Linked DNA regions of Drosophila melanogaster. The protein of the gene in region 3 purifies or fractionates together with the protein of the main gene of each other region. This does not show direct contact. Each region holds a gene or a part of one and is shown on either strand. Other genes may lie near its edges.

Region 1 (2,867 bases), on a different chromosome or scaffold from region 3:
TGAAAAGTGGATACACAAATTCTAGTCGATTTGTCTTTTTCCGCTTACTGGCGTTTCAATTCCACAACGACAGGAAAGGGAAAAAGGCGTATTTACTATGAGTTTGCTCAGCGATTTGCAGGTGATCCAGGTGTATATAGTATTAGTAAGTATTTCATCGTTTGGTGATATACACTCGAGAATATATTTCATCTGACTAATCAAAGTCAACTGACGCAACGACGCATTCAACTCATTTTACGGCTCATCTGCGATCATTATCATCAAAATCATGAGCATCTAACAAAAAGTCATAAAGTCGCCAAAGCCGAAGAACTCTAATTAAGTTTAAAGATAGAACTTTTCATGTTTTCTGTGCAGCTTCGTACGTTTTAATGATCTTTTGGTAATTAAAAGTTGTGAATGGCAGCGAAACTTTCAGTGCAGGTATATAAAATCGTACCGAAAATTATTCGGAAATAGCTTATAAAAATCTATTGAGTATCGGAACACACAGGGGGACAACACCCAATGACTAAATTCCTAAAATTACAGCATTTGGGAATACGTATTCCCATTCACTGGTACAAAGCACATTTGGAAATCAAACACCAAGGCAGAGAAAACTCAAAATCGTGCCAGCAGTCATGTGCTTAGTAATTTTTCTGATTGCTCAATACTCAAACGGTATTCAGGATTTCGATTAATAATTAATTATAACACAGCCCGAACAAAGAAACAATATTTGCCAGATTCCCCGATCATGCGGAATCGAACAAATTGCTTCGTCCGCCTTCAGCGATCCAATGGATCCAAATCGGGGCATCTTCGACTTGGCAAATGTATCGAAAATTAAATGTAAAATTTATTGTTGCATAAACAGAATGCCAGGAATCGGACCGCATCCGAATCGAACGATGCGTATGTGCCACCTTTAAGTATTCAGCCCTGCTCATCCAACCATCCCACCTCCATCTCCACCTCCGGGCCCATCCCCATGCCCATTCCCAATACCGTCCCCTTCTCCAGCTCCATCATATGGGTCCCCAGCATTTACATCTTCATCTGACCGGCTGGTACTGCTATGTGGAACGCATATAGTATGGTCGGCTGGAGAGGATGGAAGATTTGGTGCAGCCTCATGCCCACTGGCCAAAAATAACATCAATGGGAGCAGGCAGGAATCAGCGCGAAGACGGACGTCGTGTGTTTGCTTTGTTTATAGTTTTCGTGTAAACAATTGGCAGCGGAAAACCGACTTCCCGCCGTGTTGGCGTTCGAGAAAAATTGAATCTGGAAAATGCCCAAACAACACAAGCAGCTGAAGCTCAAACAATGTAATGAAAAGTGGCCAGGGCAACCGAAATAGAACTAATGCTTATTGGTCATTATTTTCCACAAGCTAAACGAATACCTTACGAAAAATGAAGTAAAAATCTTCGACTTAGAAATAATTTTTAAAAGTAACATATTTTCAGTGATCTTTTGAAATGACTGCAAAACATCTTAAACTTTTTTTTTTAATTCTCCCGAAACCGAATGCTACTATAGCAGAGATAAGTAAGTGAGACCCTGATCCGGGGTCGAACATAAATTAGGAATCTCAAATTGCAGGCCGAGATTCGAAATTGCAATGGGAGATGGCAGATGGGCCTGGGTAAGAAGCTCGCTCTTTAATTAATTCTTAGAACGGGTTTCAAGTAAATACCCGCGGACTCAATTTGTACATATGGAGTGTATGTAAGTGAGTGTCTGGATGCCGGACGATAACCGGTAAACAAGGCGACCAGCAATTCCAATTCCACTTCAGTTTTGGAAATATAAAGAGCAGTCTTCCCTCACTCGGAGTCAATTCAAAGCCAGCTTCCCCTCCAGACAGCAGCATGTTTAAGATTGTGAGTATCGCGCCGCCGAGAGGCGATCACTCCAAGGATTAGCCCATTCCTAAACCATCTTTCCAGCTCATCGTCGCCCTGTCCCTTTGCACGGCCGTCGTGCTGAGTGCTCCAGTGGACCACGTCACATCCACCACCCAGCCACCGGTGGCCATTCTCGAATCATCTCACGAAAAGCACGAGGATGGATCGTACAACTTCTCTTACCTCGGCGAGGACGGCACCCACAGAAGGGAGGAGGCCGTGGTCAGAAACCAAGGCACCGAGAACGAGTACCTGGAGATCAGCGGCTCCTACTCCTACTTCGATGCCAACGGACAGGAGGTGACCGTCACCTACAAGGCCGATGACCACGGATTTGTACCAGAGGGCGGAGCAATCCTGCCCCAGATTTCGCTGGCCGCCAAGCAGGTCAGCGAGCAGGTGCCCCAACCAGATCTTGACTATGCTAAGCCTCCTAAGGTCTAATAAACGAGGCACTGAAATGGAATCTAATTGGTGTTGTTTTAGTTGTGTTCTCCAGCAAAACATCCAGATATAATTGCAAAGTAATGGCTGAGAACTCGAAATCTCCGATGAGGGAAAGGTGATTCAATATTTGAATGCTGCCTCCATTCAAATGAAAGATTTGGTAGTTACAATTTTACTTCCTTCATTTAATGCAGAAACAATTTCAACTACCAATAATAGCTAGAGGACCGCCTGCTCGGCCATCTTGGGGTTCGTAGAGGTTAACAGTGCGCTGAACAAATTGAAAATACAAAAATACAACTAGGAAGGTGGGAAAGGAGGTCGGGGCGGGCAGGGAAACTATTATAATACATAAAAGCTCAGAGATTAAATTAAAAACAATGCAATAAATAAGAATTCGATTTCGTCGAGAGAGAAGTGTGTGGAAGCAGAGCTCCATCACTTCACTTCACTTCATTTTTTCACAGGCGTGACCGGGGGCGATCGGTAGGAGTTGACCAGACCACCACCCGAGTTGGGCTT
Region 2 (3,445 bases), on a different chromosome or scaffold from region 3:
GCAATTGATCCAGAAAGTTTGTCATCGCGATGCGATGGCATGTCCTCGATGGGATTGCGTGATATAATGGCTCCCCGAAACACGAAAGGTGTCTCAACACCTCCGGAATTGGAAGTATTCCGGGGGATTATTGATCAAACAGCCGAGCCATGCGACGACTTGCGAGCGAATTGAAAGTGTAAATAAACGCCGGTTGAAATCAGCTGTTGGCGCCAATATCTTAAGTGGGCCAATCAGCTGGCAACTACAGTGGGCATCCAATAAGGTAAACTATCAGTTGTTGTTTATCAAAAAAGATTTAAAACAAAATTTAGGAAAATTATTGATAATCAATTTGCAAAAATATTTATATGTACTTCCTAGTCAAATTTGGAGCTCAAACCCTCTCAAATTCTCTCAATCCTCTCCTATCCAAACACTATGCTAATATAAATATATTTCCAGTGAACACCACTTAATCACAAACACGAAACACTTGAGAGTATTTACATAATGGTTTTGTTTCAATCATTTAATTTCGAACATTCTGTTTTTTGCACAAGCATCAGAGGAAAACACAAAAACGATAGTCAGTGATCGATAGATGGTGGCTCCACTATCGATGATGCTCCTCCTTTTGGGCGAACTTCGTGTGTAAATGTTGTGGTTTTTCAATGTTTTTAAGCTAAGGGAACTGCGGATGTTGCATCCTGAAGGATCCTAGTGCTTGGGAGTGGGCTTCGAAAGCTCAGCCAAGGCACGGGCCTCAGCCTCTGCGCTGCGCTTCTTCTCCTCGGCGAGCTTGGCATCACGGACGGCCTTCTGCTGTGCCTCGATCTCGCGCAACTTCTCCTCCTTCTTGGACAGGCGGCTCTGGTGGGCGGCGCCGTAGGCAATGCCCACCAGGAGCAGGGACCATCTGCCGAACTTGATCAGCGGGGAAACGCGAACGGGAGCCTGCGACATGGTTTCTTCTTCAAGTTATGTAATTGTCCGACCGTGAACTGCAAGAAAAGGATGTACTTTAGTTATCCGACTTCCTTAATAGCGTTCCCCGTCTCGCTCCACTTTACAGATTCCTGGTTTTCCTAGTTTTATGCAATATTTGATGTTAAATAAGCAAAATTACCAAATTGGTGGAGCGATTGCAACGGCAGCGCAGTATAACCTTAAAACAGCTGTCAAAACTGACAGGCGGCTATCGATAGTTGTATTGGTACGGTGGCGGCGTTGCCAGCAAGCTTAAAAAAGTATGCAGAAATTGTGGAAAATATCATAACAATTTAAAAGAAGCCTTTATGACGACTATTTGTTGTTTAGTGTCCCAACAAAATTTGACGTATTACATACTGCAGCCTAGACTTTCATGTATATTTTACTCTTGTTACTAATAATTTTCAAATACAATTTTAACGGTAAAAGAATTGGAAAGAATAAAAATCTATTATAGAAATATAACTAATATAACTATTCTATCTGAACTATGGATAATGATTTAAATCGAAAATGGGAATTGAAAAAGATAAGATTCAAATTTTGTATGTTATCAATGTTGCGCAACGTTTTTCAGCACTGTCGGTTGGCCAAAAGTTAAACGTTCACACTGTGGGCAGAGGAAAAAGTATTGTTTTCTGGAAAACATGGCTAATTGCAGATAAAACGCGACTTGCAAATTCGGCAAATCTGTTTTTAGAGCCACCAATAAGGCGACAATTAGACATAATACAGAGACACAACAAAATTGACGCGTGTTAAATGCAAACAAGAAAATTCCAACACAGACCTTGAGTGGCTAACACACACACACACACTTGCAGGCCCTCCACACCTGCGTCACACATACACACCACACACACAGTGATAAAGTGGAGCGAGAGAGATAGAAGATCGAACCGTTCCCAGCGTTTTTGTTGTTCTTCTTGAAGCAGGAAGTGAATTTTAGGGGATCCTTTTACTGAATTTTGCAGCTGGCATTATGGTGAATGTACCACCGCTGCTCTGCAGCACCCCCCCGCCCATCGATTTTGGTGAGGAAGACGACGATTCCGGTTTACAATCCACCATCCATTTGGACGAGGGTGACGAATACTCAGATTTTGGCTTAGTCAGCAGCTCGAAAGGCAAGCTTAGATATTTATCGAATCTCAAAGTGATACTCAGTTAATTCTCGCTTTTTAGAACCCCCTCCACCACCAGATCCCGTGGAGGAATTTCGAGAAAAGCCACCTGATTTGCTGGAAGACAAACAAACCGTCGAGGCATTTAATTACCAGGTGAAACAGAAGATGGATTACGATGTTTTCGAGGAAACAGCACCGCCGACGCCGCCTCCGTTGAGCTTGGAACTGGATGATGAGGAACTGGAGGAGCATGTGCCCTCCCTTAAGTTGGACAGTCTAAGTCTCTATTCCACGGAAAGCGTTTCTGCCGCCTCCACACTCTCACCGGTTGCGGAGACTAGTGCAGTTGCTCCGCCGGCTATGCAAACAACCAAAGCCCATATCCTCAGCCACCAAGTCACGCTGGAGGATGTGTCCGATGACAGCGACGAGGAGTGCTCGCCAAAGAAGCCCAAAGAACTATTTATACGCGAGGGAGCTGTGGATTTCTTTGCCATAGAGGTATTGGCCACTCCAACCCTACCATATGGAGAAGGCTTTTCGGAGGAGAATGTGGATACAGGGAAAGGAGAATACGTAGAGAATACCTCCCAGCCAGAAGAAAGCTTTAGAAGTTTGGAAGCCCAGGAGGAAAGTTCAAATACCTTAGAAAAGCCTATGGAAAATCAAAGCCGTGGCTTATCAAATCCTCCAAATCAGGAGGAATCCCCTCACCAATGGGGTGAACCAGCAAATAGTGATACATATTCATTTACAAATCTTGATGCGACGCCAAAAGACTTAGTACACAAAGAAATTGTTCCCGAAATGCAAGAGCAAGAAGATGATGATGACTTCGGTGACTTTGCGGATTTCTCAGCAGCAGAACCCCAACTAGAAATCACGGAGAATTCAACGTCTGCCTTTGAGACACCTTCCTTAGCAATCAATTCCCGAACGGAATCTCAACCTCTAGAGGTTAAGACGGCTCCTAGCACAGAAGAATCCTCTAAGTTACCTCCTGCAGAGACCGATGATGGCTTCGATGATTTTCAGGAGTTTGCCACTCCTGCGAATGGAAACCACGGTCAAAGCGAAGACGACGATGATTTTGGCGACTTCGCCGCGCCCGTAGTGACTCCTGTTTCTGTACCTCCGCCACCGCCGCCAGCTGCTGTCCATCTGAGCATAGATGAAAGGGTTAAGCCAGTCCTTGATATGATGTTTCCACAACCAACGGAACTGGACAGCAAAAGTATGGACAATCGCAGGCCTTTGGCTCAGTGCCAGCGATTCAATTTTGGTGCCATAGAGCATGCCCAAGCCCTTGATTACCAATGGAGCAGCTCGGAAATGAGACACGCCCT
Region 3 (3,340 bases):
CAGCTGCATACCGGAGGTTGGGCTGTTCGTGGTGTATACTCAGCCTAGTGCCTACTTGAATGCCTCACTGACCTGTTCAAACTCCTCGGAGTTCACTGGTAGTCTGGCCCACATCGCATCCGAACACAGAACCAGTTTATTGGCCCAATGGCTAGTGGAATTCAACAGGAAATCACAGTCTCTGGCAGAAGGTAATGTCTATCTGGCCTATGTGGGTTTGGCCTACAACAGCTCAACGTCATTGAGCCCACTGGACTTCAGGAACTCCCAAGGGGAGAGCTTGCAGTGCTTTCTTTACAGAGCCTGGGATGGTGGTCATCCTCGAGTTGGGTAGGCTGACAGTTTATTAGGTTAGCCGCCAATGCTATCTTCTCTAAATCTAACCGAATTTGCAGTGGTGATCTGGGCAACGCCAGCTGCGTGGCCTTGACGCCGCAGGGAACCTGGCAAACCCTGAACTGCGACCGGGAGCTGCCCTTTATCTGCGAAATCCACACGGCCCGGTCAACTTTCGGCTGGGAGCAGTCCAGTTCCGAGCTGGACATCGGCCCAAATGCAGTCTTCGAGTGCGGAAGAGACCGAGTCTGAGTCTATGGCAGCATGGATATTCGCAGCCGTTTTATTCACTTAAGCAGTTTTCAAAACACAAAAGCCAAATAGATATAGTTTAGTGGTGATTGCCCGCCTCTCGCACGCCTTGTGGAAAGTGTAGAATCTGTTGCAGATGCAGGACCACCGGGCAGCGCCGCTTAGTGGTACTTGTAGTTCCTGTGGTGCTTCAACTTGGTGTAGTTAATCAGATAGAAGAACGTCATGCTGGCGACGGTCAGCTGGAAGAAGGGAGCGATCCCGGCGCGCTTTGGGAACACGTACTTGTGCTGCCAGCGCCACCAGGCACGGCTCACAGCTCCGGCCACAGCGTTGGGGGTCTTGTTGCGGCGTCCCAGCCAGGCGCCGATCTCGCCCAGCTTGACCTGGCCGAAGGGCACATCGGCTGCGGATCGGAGAGAGCGGAGAGGTCGGAAAGTTGTTTAAATTATGTAAAACGCTGCACATTTTTGGGCAGTGCAAATGTGCTCTGTGCCTGCCGCAAAAATTACGTAACCTGCTCACCTTTGCCGTAGAAGCGAGCGGGGTCGTAGGGCCCGTGCACCTTGGGGTTGTACTCAGCTGGATAGTCACCGAATGCCATCGCGCTGGTTTGGTTGAGATATATTCTTAAATCGGATTCTTATGAAACATAAAATTACGCCTGCTACTTACTTCCTTCGATACTGACAGTATGACCAAAGCGGCGAGAGCTGGGATTTTCATCGACCAATATACCGAAATATACTATGTGCGAATTTATTGTGTGCGTCTCCGCTAACAGGGAGGATGTATTCGCTACGTCATCGATACAGCGAATATATCGATGCCCGATGCACGATGCACTTCTCACATCACTAAGCTCCAGTATATACAGAAATCAAATAGGATTTTTGCAAGCCTGGGCATTCGAATCAGAATCCAGCCAAAGCGAATCCAGTGTGTAAACAAAAACAATGAAACTGGAGGAGTTGCTGACCAAGGGAGCCTCCTCTCCGCCGGAGGACGACGACGAGGACGAGAAGGTGGAGCTGAAGCCGCAGAAGTCAAGCAGCGCCACCGCGGACGAGGGGGCGGAGAACGCGGAGGATGCGGCCGAGGATGCTGGCGAGAAGGAAGGCGCGGGTGGCAAGAAGAAGGGCACGCGCAAGAAACGCTCCCTTAACTGGGAGGAGGCGGAAAGGGGGCTGCTCCTTGAGGTCATCAAGTCCAAGGTGGCCTTCGTGGAGAACCGGAGCGTGGACGCCAAGAGCATAAAGGCCAAGCGTCTGGCCTGGTCGCAGATCACCAAGCAGTAAGTTGCGCCATTGGGCAGTGGAGCTCGTCTTATAATGGCCCTTCACTCCTTCCATTCCAACCCCCCATCCAGGTTCAATGCCCTTAACTTCCGCCATCGCCTGCTGGAGCAGATCCAGGTGCAGTGGCGCAGCATGAAGAACTCCGCCAAGCGGGAGCACCAGCAGAAGCATCCGAAAACGGAGGCCCTGGAAGGCATGCGGATGATCGAGTTCCTGGAGGAGATGCAGAAGGATCCGGTCACCTCGCGCAGTCAGACACGCAGCGCGAACACAAACGGCGCTCTTAAGAAGGAGCTCATGGACATCGACGAGGACGAAGACATGCCGCTGGCCGCTCTGCCCAACTCTACGAACGCCAGCGAGGACACGCTGCAGACCTCCACAATAGCCATCCCCTCGCCGCCGCCCTCCACTGCTGGCGGAGACGGGGACTCCCAGCAGGAGGGAAATCCCGCCCAGCTGCCAGCCCAGCGACGCAAGCGGACCAAGGCCAAGCAGTCGCCCTCGGGCGCCAAGACAGAAACGTCCGGCGAAACGGGGGAGGAGAACGAAAAGGGCGTAGGCCCACCACGAAAGCGGCGACAAAGGAATGTGAGTTTGAACACAAGCCGCAAGTTTATTTATTATTATTAATTAAGGTTTAGCTGAACAAGTTGCAAATTTTTGTGAAGGGGAATCTTAATCTTTCTTACTAATAATACTATCTCATCGTTAACCAGCTCTCACAGGCCCAGTCGCTGCTGTCCGACGAGAACGAAGCCTCCACCAACGCAGCTCCGAGCGCCACCCCAGTTGCAGACACAAATAGCCAGTCCTTAGATTTGGTCGCCGCCACGGAGATAGAGCAGAAGTACAAGCAGGACCTGTTTAGGCTGCTCAAGCAGGCCCGTCTGGCCGAAATCGACTACGCCCGGCGGGAACACGAGCAGAAGCTGCGCTTCGAGCAGATGGAGCAGGAGGTGAAGATGGCCTACTACCGGCAGGAGCAGGACCTCAAGCTGCGGCACATGCGCGAGGAGCACGACATCCGGCTGCGGCAGCAACGACGGGAGCACGAGGCGCGCCTGGGGATCTACTCGCTGAAGAGCGGTGGCCTGAACGGAAGCATACAGGATCAGAGTTCAGCAAAGTGCAATGCCAAAGCGGACTACAACAATGTCCACGAGGTCGGGCCATCGACCAGTGCGGAGGGGGCGCTGGCGCTCAATGCCGCCTGCAACTAGGGGCGTGGCTGTTGGCCCATATGCATATACAATACGAAGAGAGCCAGCAATTAGGGTGTAAGGCATTTAGAGGAAACATCAACAGTACTTTAAAATTTAGCTTGAAATATGTTTAGCGAAATGTAGCTCTTCCGGTCAGCCAGAGTAACCGGAAACGGAAACGTAAACGCCGGACGCGCATACAATACTCATCGACACACTCAAGTTGCCACTCGGACGAATGGACTGTTG

What was found.
Region 1: the proteins of ATPsynF (region 3) and Cpr78E fractionate together in Drosophila melanogaster (co-fractionation; one study listed by BioGRID). This does not show direct contact.
Region 2: the proteins of ATPsynF (region 3) and ATPsynE purify together in Drosophila melanogaster (affinity purification with mass spectrometry; 2 studies listed by BioGRID, with this or other methods). This does not show direct contact.

The regions. Positions count from the first base shown.
Region 1 is NT_037436.4:21,665,952-21,668,818, reverse strand, and holds Cpr78E (cuticular protein 78E), read left to right. Parts: upstream 1-1,838; 5' UTR 1,839-1,862; coding exon 1,863-1,874; intron 1,875-1,940; coding exon 1,941-2,342; 3' UTR 2,343-2,367; downstream 2,368-2,867. Other genes in the region: CG43980 (uncharacterized protein), read right to left, coding at 2,799-2,867.
Region 2 is NT_033777.3:14,324,791-14,328,235, reverse strand, and holds ATPsynE (ATP synthase, subunit E), read right to left. Parts: upstream 1,290-3,445; 5' UTR 1,109-1,289; exon of another isoform or gene 1,053-1,108; intron 984-1,052; 5' UTR 946-983; coding exon 700-945; 3' UTR 501-699; downstream 1-500. Other genes in the region: spn-B (spindle B), read right to left, coding at 1-25; Afti (aftiphilin), read left to right, coding at 1,955-2,099, 2,158-3,445.
Region 3 is NT_033778.4:24,598,504-24,601,843, forward strand, and holds ATPsynF (ATP synthase, subunit F), read right to left. Parts: upstream 1,319-3,340; 5' UTR 1,264-1,318; exon of another isoform or gene 1,197-1,263; 5' UTR 1,193-1,196; coding exon 1,114-1,192; intron 995-1,113; coding exon 750-994; 3' UTR 589-749; downstream 1-588. Other genes in the region: CG13587 (uncharacterized protein), read left to right, coding at 1-330, 396-588; CG3548 (uncharacterized protein), read left to right, coding at 1,545-1,882, 1,958-2,477, 2,606-3,109. UniProt on the Drosophila melanogaster protein: Mitochondrial membrane ATP synthase (F(1)F(0) ATP synthase or Complex V) produces ATP from ADP in the presence of a proton gradient across the membrane which is generated by electron transport complexes of the respiratory chain.